3 linked regions of the Cricetulus griseus genome follow. The protein of the gene in region 3 purifies or fractionates together with the protein of the main gene of each other region. This does not show direct contact. Links are inferred from orthologs where the notes say so. Each region holds a gene or a part of one and is shown on either strand. Other genes may lie near its edges.

Region 1 (4,414 bases), on a different chromosome or scaffold from region 3:
GTAAGTAGTGTTAAGGCATGTCACCAAGTCATTCCATCTATGTGTAATTCTTTAGTGACCTGGAGAATGACTGAAATTCTGTATTTTATTTGAAATATGCATATAGCGGGCGTTGGTGGCACACGCCTTTAATCCCAGCACTCGTGAGGCAGAGGCAGGCGGATCTCTGTGAGTTTGAGGCCAGCCCAGTCTCCAGAGCGAGTTCCAGGACAGGCTCCAGAGCTACACAGAGAAACCCTGTCTCAAAAAACCAAAAAAACCAAACAAACCAAAAAAAAGCATATCAACAGCTGGGTATGGTGGCGCACACCTTTAATCTCAGCACTTGGGAGGCGAAGGCAGACAGATCTCTGTGAGTTCCAGGTCAGTCAGGGCTACACAGTAAGACCCCGCCTCAAAACAAAACAGAAATCACATCTCAAGTTACCAATATGCTTGTCTCCATCACAGAAATGACGTGTGTGCACATACACACATGTGCACAGGAGGCACACACCTGAGGAGACACTGTTTTGTGTCTTTATTTCTTGAAACAGGTTCTCTTGGAGCTCACTGACTGTCATCTAGACTAGCTGAGTGGTGAGTCCCTGGCATCCTTCTGTCTCCACTTCTGTGGGCTGGGATTCAAGACAACTGGCCATGCCTGGCTTTATGTGGGTGCTGGAAATCCCAAGTGACACTGTACCCACTGAGCCATCTCCCCAGTCACCATGCAGAGGGATTAAGGTATCTGTGTAGATGGCTGGTCATTCTCTGCACAAGTTCACAACTATGACCTTAAGGAAAAACAAGCTCAAATACTAACCTACAACATTTAAACTTGCATGATATGAGGTAAGGACTGCAGAGCAGATGAAAACCGATCAGCTCAACATGTAAACTAAGGCCCGCTACCCTTGAGTAAGAACAGAGCAACTCTTACAGGGGTCAACAGCTCAGGTGGGGTGCTACTTACTTCCTCATTAAACAGCTTGCTAGTTTCTTTTTTGATGGGGTCTATGAGCTGGACTTGGCCTGCGGAAAAGCCCACTAGGAGAGAGACACTTTCTGCTGTGGCTGTTAGGTGGTTGAAGTCATGACAGGTAGGCTGTGTTCCTTTGTATATCCTTTTATCTATTGGTTTACTCAAGTCAGCAGCCTGGAGGAGAAAGAAAAATAAATACAGTAAACAGCACATTGAGATGAGCAAGCTAAGTTCAACTATTTTATACTCCATTATGAACTTCAATTTTAAAAACAAAGTTATTTAAAATATTGCTTCAACTGTGACTTAAAATAACTCACTTCATATTTTATAAAAGCAATTTCACATATGTAGCCAACTAGATAGTCTATCTATAAAATATTCATTTGTGACTGTTGTTTCCACAATTTTTCGTCTTTCAAATATGTGTAACAAGGACTCCCCAGTTTCAGAAAGAAAACGTCTCTGATCCTAAATTCCATTTTTCCAAATGTCTTCCAAGAATTCTAATAGAGTAAGTCAGTGCATACACAACACAACTCAGGTATGTCTACAGTACCCGAGTACCCACTGCCCAGCTACCTAGAGCTAATGGTGCTCAAAATGTGTACAGACTGGCAGGCAGCAGCATCAACTGGAAACTCAAAATACAAATTCTCAAACCCCTTCCCAGACCCTGTGCATTAGAAATAACGGGAGTAACCCACAATCGCAGTTTTATAAGGCTCCCAGGTGATGGGGTGCCCCCGGATGCATCAAGATCTGAGAAGCTCTGCCGGGGGCTTCTCTCTCTGCTGCCGTCACCTCACTGCTTACAGCAACCCTGTAACATCCTACATCGAGAGCAGTCACTGTCCTGCCTGGCTAGTGCTGATCATAAGCAGATGGGGAGAAAACAGATTGGAAGCACTGTAAGGTCAATGTGTCTGCACGCCATACCCTTAAATCTTTTTTAACATTTATTGTGCGTGTGCACACAGAGGTGCCATAGGGAGCATACAGGTCAGTGCTCTAACTCCATGAGGAGGGTCATGCAGACTCAACTCAGGCCACTAGGTTTCCCTTTTTTCCAAGAAATGTCCCATGTAAGTGCAATAAACTAGGTTGTTTCTATTGAACGAAGGCAAGCCATATCCCCTATGTTTAAAAATCATAGGTGGAGGGCCTGTGAAAAAGCTCAGTAGGTACCAGTGCTTGTCAACAAGCCTAATGACCACACACGCACACTCCTACACAGACACACTTAAGTACATACAAAGGAAAAGATAAAACTGCAGGTGGAGACAACATCACTCCTATGCATGCCTCTCTCTCAGTCTGTTCTTTACTTCAGGCCCCAGTTCCCTGCTTCCGTCCAAAGGGACCTGTGGTACTTTATACGACTTAACTCTGTTTGCTTCTCAAGTAACAAATACTGAGTAGAAAAGAGGACTTCAAAATTGTGAGTGACTTTGAGCAAGCTAGAAACAGAGGGTTTCACAGCTAGTACCCGAGAGGGCTGTGTGGTCATGGGAGCCCAGCACAAAAGAGGCAGGCTACCCTCCCAGCTTTGCCTCCGTTAAAGCACAGCTGAGGTGCTCACCTTTAATCCCAGCACTTGAGAAACAAAGGCAGGCAAGATCCCTGAGTTCGAGGCCAGCCTGATCTATAGAGTGAGTGCCAGGATATGTATGCTCCAAAGCTGCACAGAGAAACCCTGTCTCGGAAAAAGAAAAAGAAAAAGATTCATGTCCTCAAATGGACAGAACTAGGGAAAAAAAAAATCCTGAGTGAGGTAACTCAGACCCAAAAAGACAAATATAATATGTATTGACTCATTAGACATAAAGCAAAGGATAACCCAGGATACAGTCCATAACCCCAGAGAGCCTAGGCAACACAGAGGACCCTCAGAGAGACATAGACATATCTGCCTAGTTAGGGGAGCATGAGAGGCATGGGGGCGGGGGGCGGGGGATAGTGGAAGAGGGAAGAGGAGTGGGGGGAAGTGTATAGCTCAATAAAAACAAGGTTAAAAAAAGAATTATGGCCAGGCATTTGTGGCGCACACCTTTAATCCCAGCACTCGGGAGGCAGAGGCAGGTGGATCTCTGTGAGTTCGAGGCCAGCCTGATTTCCAGAGCGAGTGCCAGGAAAGGCTCCAAAGCTACACAGAGAAACCCTGTCTCGAAAAACAAAACAAAACAAAAAAAAAATTCATTTTGGGCTGGAGAGATGGCTCAGAGGTTAAGAGCACCGACTGCTCTTCCAGAGGTCCCGAGTTCAATTCCCAGCAACCACAAGGTGGCTCACACCATCCATTATGAGATCTGGCGCCCTCTTCTGGTGTGCACATATACATGGAAGCAGAATGTAGTATACATAATAAATAAATAAAATCTTAAAAAAAAAAAATGTGTCCCATTGATTTCCAGCCTCAATAGAGTACCCACAATATCACAGACACTCAATATTTACTGAAGGAGCTATAGTTACTCTTGATTGTAGTCACTGTTCGGACAGCATACTAGTTCTGCACATGATGAGTTACTGATCACAAAATAAAGTGTCAGTGTATCCGTATACTCATTAGCTCAATTTAGTAAAAACCTTCAAGTAATGCTTTAAAAATACATACTTGCCAGGCACAGTGGTGATGCCAGAGCAGACAGAGATCTTAGCACTTGGGGAGCAGAGCAAGCTGACCAGAAATTCAAGGTTATCCTCAGTTATAAAGAGAGCTGGAGGTCAGCCTGGTAAAATGAGATCTTGTCACAAAATAACAACAAAATTCAAAGCTAGTGACTAACTTATGCCATTTGAGTCTGGTCTCAAACAACACAAAACCCAAATCCAAACCAACATCCCTCGATCCAGGCTAAGGCCAGAAATTCACAAATTCCAGGCTAGCCTGAGCTTTAGTGTGACACCCCATTTCAAAAAGAAACAAATGCAAATTTAAACCCCCAGCTCTGGTGTCCACACCCGAATTCTCAGCACTTGGAAGGCTGTGTCACTCAATCAAGACCAGTCAGGGCTCAACAGTGGGACCTGATCCCAGTTCTTAAAAAACCAAGAGGACTGGAGAGATGGCTCAGTTGTGAAGAGCACTGGCTGCTCTTCCAGAGGACCTGGGTTCAAGTTCCAGCACCCACATGGCAGTTCCCAACTAACTCCAGTTTAGGAGGAGTCAATACCCTCTTCTGGCCTTATGGGGCACCAGGCACACACATGGCACACATATACATGCAAATAAAACATTCTTTTTTTTTGCCTACACCACCATGCCTGGCTAAGTAAAACATTCTTGTACATAAATAAATCTTTTTTAAATAAAATTAAATAATCCCACTAGGGAATCGGCCGACTTCCAAAGTCCTTGGTCTGGGGATTCTTCTCCAGGATGAATTTTGCTGAGGACCTGTTCCTCCCAGCACACAGTGCTACCCCAGGCTGCTTGGATCCCTGTGG
Region 2 (4,414 bases), on a different chromosome or scaffold from region 3:
CCATTTATTCTATCCAACTGTCCATTGGGACTTTACATGTTCACTTTGACTCCTATACTGCTCCATGCCCCATTTTTGGCTTACTTTTCTTCCTTTTATGAGCAATACAGTTGGACTGTTATATGGGCTCAAAAAAAGAGCAGTCTGTGTAAGCAAAGAAGGGAGGTGCTGCAGACTGAGGGCATCAGCAGGAGGAATGGAAGAGGGTCAGGCTGGGAAAGAGATTGGTTACTTATATGGCTACCAACCAAAAAACAAAGATGACAGAGCCAATCTTCACTATCAGAGAGGGGATTCCAAAAGTTAAAAAGGAGACATCGCAATGAAGCCCATTCAGTTTTGAGTACATCCTCTGCTCAGTTCAGGAAGGGCTCAGGAATAGTGACATCTGAACAGCAAGGCACACATTCATGGAGCCCTGGCTTTCGAATGTCACTTTCCCTGAACAGGACCAGGGCCCTTCACAGAAATGGCTCGTTTCAAGGTAAGTACAAGAAATTCAGCTGAGCTCAGAACGTGATGAGACAGTGGGGCAGAAGAGCCACCAGAGACCTCCCTCACCATCAGCTGAACTGTAGTTACAGGGACACAGAACAGTAGTAAATGATAACCCACTCCAACAGGGATGTCTGAGTGTACCTGAAGTTTTTCAAATGGCAGTTTAATGAAGAATGAAGTATTTGCAATCTTTGCATATCTCTACACTAAGTACTTAAAAATTACAACAGGGGAAAGTGTAGTTTACATGCAGAATTACAGGAATCATCTTAACTGAGAGTTCAGTGGCAGAGGCAACAGCAGTGTCATATGTGCAGATTCAGAATGGCCAGCCCACCCCCAAGAAGCCTGGCTCTAGGACTGGTACAGTAAGCGGCACTTGGGCACTTGGGAGCTAAGGAGCACCTCAAATCCCATGTATGTCAGTTAACCCCCTGGGCCCCAACTGCTTGATCAGTATTATTCTGAATACCTGCTCCCCTTCTGAGATCCTGGAATTTGGAGCAAGGTAGCACAGGCATTTGCCTATGTGACAAGTACATATAGGAACCCTGGGCATGGAGCCCGCAAAGAGCTTCCCATGATATCATTAAGAGAGGGGAAATTCGGTGTCCTGTGTCACTTCACTGGATCAGGGCCTCTTGGAAGCCTGCCTGGCTTTGCCCTTTGCTCTGTATCTTTTTCTGTGATAATCTTAACTGTGAGCATGACTATATACCAGGTACCAAGTCCTAGAAAATCATAAGCACAGGGACACTCAAACACCCAAGACATACTACAAATATGTGACACTTAACAAGATACATATCTGCAAGACTCCTTTCTAAGACATCTAAGCCAAAAAACTGGTGATATGAATCATAGATATATGGTTCCAGACTGGGCATTGCTCATCTAGCAATTCTCACTGAGCCTTAATTGCTAACACTAACATTAAGAATATGGGACTGGAGAGATGGCTCAGCAGATAAGAATGCTTGCTATGCAAACATGAGAACCTGGGTTTGGATCCCTAGTATCCATGTGTTTAAAAAAGAACAAAACCCAGAGAAAGGTATGGTGGTGTACGCTGTAATCCCAGCACTCAGAAGGCAGAGGCAGACAGATCTGAGTTTGAAGACAGCCTGGTCTACACAGGGAGTTCTAAGGCAGTCCGGACTACATAGCGAGACCCTGCAACACACACACACACACACACACACACACACACACACACACAACACACACACACGGGGGGGGGGAGGTAAGCACAGAGACAGAAGTATCACGTGAGCTTGCTGGCTGGATGGCTATCCACAAAACTGAGCTCGGGTTCAGTAACAGACCCTGTCAGAGGGAAAATAAGGCAGAGAGCAATGGAACAGAAAACCCAATGTTCAATGTCCTCTTCTGCCTCTGCACACACATACACACCCCTAAGAATGAGCATTCAATGTACATACATACACTTCTGCAGATCACTTTCAGATAGAAAAGACTACCCTCAACATCTATGGCCAAAGAATCATTCAAATAATTTCAAAAGAGACTGGCAAAATAGTTCAGTGGGTAAAACAGCTTGCCATGCAAGCCTGAAACCTAAGTCCAATCCCTAGATGGTAACAGACTCCTGAATGCAGTGTTCTGATCTCTGTGCATAGTGCCATTGCACACACTCACAATAGTAATACAATCTAACCATGGTGCCATTGCACACACTCACAATAGTAATACAATCTAACCATGGTGCCATTGCACACACTCACAATAATAATACAATCTAACCATGGTGCCATTGCACACACTCACAGTAATAATACAATCTAACCATGGTGCCATCACACACACTCAATAATAATACAATCTAACCATGGTGCCATTGCACACACTCACAGTAATAATACAATCTAACCATGGTGCCATCACACACACTCACAGTAATAATACAATCTAACCATGGTGCTATTGCACACACATGCGTACACACAATAATACAATCTAACTTAGAAGACACTAAATTACCGTTTGTGTGCTTCCTGTTTGCTTCGGCACTCTTCACAGTAGTATTTATATTCACTGCACAGAGTTTCTGTGTTACTAAAACCTCTGTGAAAAATGCAAATGAACTTGTTAGGTATACTTGAAAAATTCACTTAATATTCTATGCCAAAAGTAAATATTAAATTGCAAAAGAAATACTTCTACACAAACCTTAAGCAGTGAGTAATTGATGTGTTTTGTTCCACGTCAACAGAAAGGTCTAAAAAATCTTCATCTTTGCTGCTTATCTGTAAATACAGTAGTTATTTCAATTGCCAGGAACCACAGTTTCCAGCTGATAGGTTAAATGAATCTACCAACAGACTAAGCAATTCTTCCTCCTTACGCTCAAAAGACAACTACTTGGTCTGGAGTACCTAAAAGGCAGCGAACCAGTGTCCACCTGTCACATCTCCTGTATGGGAAGACATCAAAGTCCCCTAAGCATCTGACTGGCTGAGGCCAGGAAGAAGAGTTTCACAGCTTCCTGGGGCGGTGATGTGTGAAGTACACGGTATCACACTGTGGTTCTGAGAAGCACAGGCTGTCACCGGTGAGGCAGCATTTCACTTCTGAACATGCCCAGTGCAGTGAACTAGATCCTCATGTCAGAAGATCCATCCGGATGGGACTCACTGGGACGTGTGATAATGAACATGGAACACCATGTCCCTGATGCAGAATGACAACCGACATACAATGAAATTCACAGAGCACCCACATTTAAGGAGAAAAATGTAGAAAGGCAAGGCAAGGAATTCAGGTTAGAGTAACCTTCATAGAGCAGGGCAGAGCTGCAGCCTGCCCCAGTTAGCTCCTGCGGGCAGCTGGTTCCCCCTCGACACTCCCACTGCACTCACTGCACACTTACTCCTGATAGGATCTATGCAGGCCATCCCTGCCTCTGCTCTAACCCTGTCTGGACACTGTTGGGCGGTCTTTGTTCCTGCTAGGCATCTTGGGGGTCAGACTCCCAGCCTAACAACCATCTACCATTCTCCTCTCCCCTTCTTTCTGGCAGGGCTGCTTCTTAAATGTGGGTGAGACCAAAGAAAGAAGTGATGTACATTTACACACTCTGGAAAGAGCCCAGATTTCACCCCGCTAGCTTATAACGGCAGGAACATGATTACTTGTGAATATGCATACTGCTGGCTTAGTTTAAGGAAGTTCTCTGCAATACATACTGCAGGCCACAGAAGAACTTACTAGTAGAAAAACAGAGCCCACCCCTTAAGAGTTAATAACATGAATAAACATTCAAACACTTTGAACAGAATGGCTGATGTCACCACCTCCTTCAACTGTTTCTTCTCTATCCTCCCCCATCCAATACAAACCTGACTTCAAAGTCCTGGCAGAGCACTCCACAAGTCTCCCAGAGGCCTCTGGAGGTCCCAAATCTACCATATAAATCTCACCTATTACTACACTTCTCAACAAGTAACTATTTTGTTTCATTGAAGACTGAATCATATATAATGATGTCAGATCAAAGTCTATAATAATAAACATAAAAAACCCTGTCCAATTCCCTGACCATATCTACTATTCCAATGGGAATAGTAATACCACTGTAATAAACCAGCAATCTAAACATTGTCCTGCAAGGAACTGTTGCTTCAGGCAATGAAAAAGGGCTCACACCACAGCTGGTCTTCTGTAGTGGCGGAGCAGCTTCAGACTGATGCCAAATCCACCTCTTCCCTGACCCAGATAAGATCCACCACTAAGTTACTCAGGAAAAGGAATATATTTATTTCCTAGTACAGGGCTATCTCATTCTTGGCAACCAATTCGAAGCTTCATCTTTACCAAGTGTCCACTCAAAGGGTACTGACCTCCTTGAGGGCACACAGTACTGTTCTATTCCAACAACAGACACTGTGTCCACTCG
Region 3 (3,722 bases):
CCATCAGGGAACCAGCAAATAGCCTTGAGCCAGACACACCATGCATTTATTTTTAAATAATAAATAAACGGCAAAGGACATACAGGAAAGAAAACATTCATTAATTCAAGTCACTAAAGTGCTTCCAAACATAAATTCAAAAGGACCAAGAAATCAGGTCTGATCTTCAGTCTCTAGATATTTAACAATTGCCTAAACATGTCTTCAGGTGACTTCAGAGGAGGCAAGTATGGTCTTCTTTGCTGTTTAAGCACTGAATATTCAAGGCCTATCACTTAACACTCAGAATACAAAATTACTGCCTACCATGAAAATGAGAATGTCTAAGAGCCAGGTCAAGGAAAGGTGACATAGCATTCATTCATTCATTTATTCATCTGTTTAGAAACTTCTCCTAGGAATTATATTCACACCTGTAACCCCAGTACTGGAGAGGCTGAGGCAAGAGATCCAAAATTGAAGCCAACCTGGGCTGCACGGCAAGACCCTGTCTCATTAAACCAAACCAAATGTTCTAACTTGGAGTGAAGAGCCCTCTTAATGATTGAATCACATCTCAAATGATACAGGTGGTAATAATATCTATCTATCTGTCTGTCTGTCTATCTATCTATCTATCTATCTATCTATCTATCTGTCTCTCTCAGATCTTGTATAGCCCAGGTTGACCTAAAACTGGGATGGTCTTGAACACCTGATCCCTTATTTCTACCTACTGAGTACTGGGACTACAGGTGTACAATACCACATCTTACATGTGGTGCTGGGGACTGGCCCCAGGCTTTCCTGTGTACTGTCAACTGAGCTACATCATACCCCATCCCTAAAATTATGTGTGAACTTCAAATCTTCCCTGTTCAAATTCTACAAAGGAATAACAAAGTTTTAGACCAAATTGACTAATTCAAGAGCTTGTACGAATGTTCTCCATTCTAGAATTAAATGGAACTTTCCCTAGATCACCATTTATCCAGATGTTTCAGGAAGAAAACCAAATTGAAGGTGTTTGTCTTAGACCAGTTTTGTCTCCAAAAATTGTTCAAGAGAAATATGCATTTTTCCTATTTTTGGAGGGGGTGATCTGTTGGTCTCATGAGGATTCCACTTTTGGGGGCTGGAGCACCTGCAGCCCTGGGTCATGGGAACATCCCTGAGCATTGGACTCCGGGGGCATTTTCTTCGTCTCCTGCCTAGAAGAGCTGGACAAGTCAATGGCCACATCTTCCAAGCTATCCTCGGGGTCCAGGCTTGTTTTATCTGGGCCTTTTTCAGGTCCATCCTGGCCCTTATTAGCACCCTCCTTGATGTGGTCAAAACCCCAGAGTCCTCCTAGCTTGTCTTCACTTTCTGGTTTCCTCATTCCTGCAGACTTTTTATGCATCCCTGGAAAATAAAATCAACAACAACAACAAAAATTGCTTTGTTTTGTTTTGAGGCAGGGTCTGTCTGTGCAGTTCCAACTGTCCTGGATCTTGCTATGTAGAACAGGCTGACCTCAAACTCACAGAGATCCACCTGCCTCTATCCCACGTACTCAGATCAAAGGCATGTGCCACCACACCAGGCTCAAAAAAATATCTTTAAATTCAGCAAGTAAATATATTCCTTTCTTACCACTATTATTTCTATCACTAGAATTTTCTTTGTCAGTGCTGGTCTAGAGCCTAGAGGAGAGCCACCATCATTGGGGTGGAGAAGACCCTATCCACCAGCTGTCACTCTTGCAAAATTGCTTTGTTGGGTCACACAGTAACTTTGCATTTGCTTGAATAACAAAGTGACCCTAGTTTAGCACTAAACTCACTTGCTTGTATGACTGAAGTCCCATGCCAGCAAGTACCCCTATTTGTGACATGGGCATTGGTTCTCCATCCCCACTTCTCTCTAATCTCTTTGGTCCTTAGGCAAAGTCCAGGCTGTTCTCAGTTCTCAGCACAGCACCTAGCCAGAAAGCTGTTTGCTGGACTTTCCCAACCTAAAATCCCACTATGACCCACCTAACTAATTTTCTGGTAGTGATCATCTTGTGACTCAAGCCTCTGAAATCTCAACTCTGAACCCCAACAGATCATCAAGGGTAAGCACCAGAAAGGGCTTGGCCCTACCAGTGAGGCACTACCCTAGGGCAGGTTTGTTAAATCAGGCCCAAGACCTGGCCTATTACTTCAGTGGTGCCAACAGAAGGGACTGCTCTAGATTGTCTCTGCTCTGCGTGGTCCTATAAACCTTGCACTCTAAACCATATAGTTTCTAAACTCTCTAGTAGCATTCACCACTTTGAAAGTATGTATCAAACACAAGGCAAGTCTCTCTATTTATAAGTTTTGAATACATATTGACCAATATGAGTAGCCTATGAGGACTATCCCACACACTGCCTCCACAGTTCCAAGGAAAATTAAGGCTAATTAAAGACAAATTAGAGTCCAGACTGGGCCTAAATCTGAGACCTCTCCTGCTTTGCTCTTGCAAATCTCCTGTAAGGTCCCCGCCCAACTCTCTGGCTTTGTTCTTAGCCTGGCTTACCCAGAAGCCAGGGCGCACAGGAGCCCTGCAGGCTATCCGCCGCCGAGTTGAGCAGAGAATCTGGCAGCGGAATGCAGTGGCGCACCATGGCCCCGTAGAGTCCATACTCAGCCATCACGCTGCTGCCTCCCCAGCGCTTCTCTCGCTTACGCCACTTGGCTCTCCGGTTCTGGAACCAGACCTGGTTAGAGGCAGAGGGGAGTCCGAGAGGCTCAAGGAGAGACACTATGAAAAGGGGTGCCTGGAGGGGCACGCGTGCGCTCCAGGACTCTGGGTCTACAAACAAAAGGCCTGTCCCCCACCCACAGGCCTGAAAGCAGCCCCCCAAACCTGCATGGACACAGCATCATGAGGATGAGACAGGAGTCGCTTCCTGTGAAATTTTCTAAGAAGCCAGGAAGCAAAAATAAAGAATGAAAAGGACCCTTTCCTGCAGGGTGTTTATGAAGGGGCGGCCCCCTGTGTTTCCTGATTTTTCTGTTTAGGAGGTCTGCAGGGGCAATGGCCCCTTCAAATCTCAGACTGATGGACTGCTGCTATTTCTCCTGAAGAAAAGTGCATTAATTTAAACAATACACGATAACCTGAAGCTTAGGGCAGCAAGTCACTGGCAACTCTTCCAACAGAGCACATCCGCCAGCACAAGAGAACTTTCAGGATGGATACCCTATGACACACTGGCAGCACCGTGTGGCACCTACTCAGGCTGGACGCATATGGTGATGTCTTTAAGAACTAAAGACGAGAGCTAAACATTTTTGCTGATATGTCTTCATGCAGTTTTCCAGTCCAGCATACAAATTGTGTGATTTTTTTTTTGAAACACCATTTTTCATTAATTTTGTGTGCATGAGTTTAGATGTTGGAGTGACACAGCACACATAATGATGCCAGAGAAAATTTACAAGAATTAGTGCTCTCCTCCCAAGTGGGTACCAGGGATCCAACTCAGGTGTAAATCATTTTGGTGGCAGGTGCCTTACCCCACTAGGCCATCTTGATGGCTCACAAATTGTGTACTATCTGAGGGTAGGTTAAAGAAAAGAGAAAGGACACCACTCCACACCTGTATTCGGTCTTCGGGGAGCTCTGTTTTCACAGCGAGCATTTCCCGGGCATACACGTCAGGGTAGTGAGCCTCACCAAATGCCTTCTCCAGTTCTTCCAGTTGATGGGCAGTGAAAACTGTCCTGTAG

What was found.
Region 1: the proteins of Vsx1 (region 3) and Wdr20 purify together in Homo sapiens (affinity purification with mass spectrometry; 3 studies listed by BioGRID and IntAct, with this or other methods). This does not show direct contact. The link is inferred for Cricetulus griseus from reciprocal best matches to the Homo sapiens genes VSX1 and WDR20.
Region 2: the proteins of Vsx1 (region 3) and Usp12 purify together in Homo sapiens (affinity purification with mass spectrometry; 3 studies listed by BioGRID and IntAct, counting the BioPlex papers as one, with this or other methods). This does not show direct contact. The link is inferred for Cricetulus griseus from reciprocal best matches to the Homo sapiens genes VSX1 and USP12.

Annotation. Positions count from the first base shown.
Region 1 is NC_048598.1:183,239,466-183,243,879, forward strand, and holds part of Wdr20 (WD repeat-containing protein 20), read right to left. Parts: intron 1,139-4,414; coding exon 956-1,138; intron 1-955. UniProt on the Homo sapiens protein: Regulator of deubiquitinating complexes. Activates deubiquitinating activity of complexes containing USP12. Anchors at the base of the ubiquitin-contacting loop of USP12 and remotely modulates the catalytic center of the enzyme.
Region 2 is NC_048597.1:82,585,044-82,589,457, forward strand, and holds part of Usp12 (ubiquitin carboxyl-terminal hydrolase 12), read right to left. Parts: intron 2,766-4,414; coding exon 2,689-2,765; intron 2,584-2,688; coding exon 2,500-2,583; intron 1-2,499. UniProt on the Homo sapiens protein: Deubiquitinating enzyme that plays various roles in the regulation of the immune response and inflammation.
Region 3 is NC_048599.1:29,003,410-29,007,131, reverse strand, and holds the end of Vsx1 (visual system homeobox 1), read right to left. Parts: intron 3,717-3,722; coding exon 3,593-3,716; intron 2,708-3,592; coding exon 2,527-2,707; intron 1,384-2,526; coding exon 1,091-1,383; downstream 1-1,090. UniProt on the Homo sapiens protein: Binds to the 37-bp core of the locus control region (LCR) of the red/green visual pigment gene cluster. May regulate the activity of the LCR and the cone opsin genes at earlier stages of development. Dispensable in early retinal development.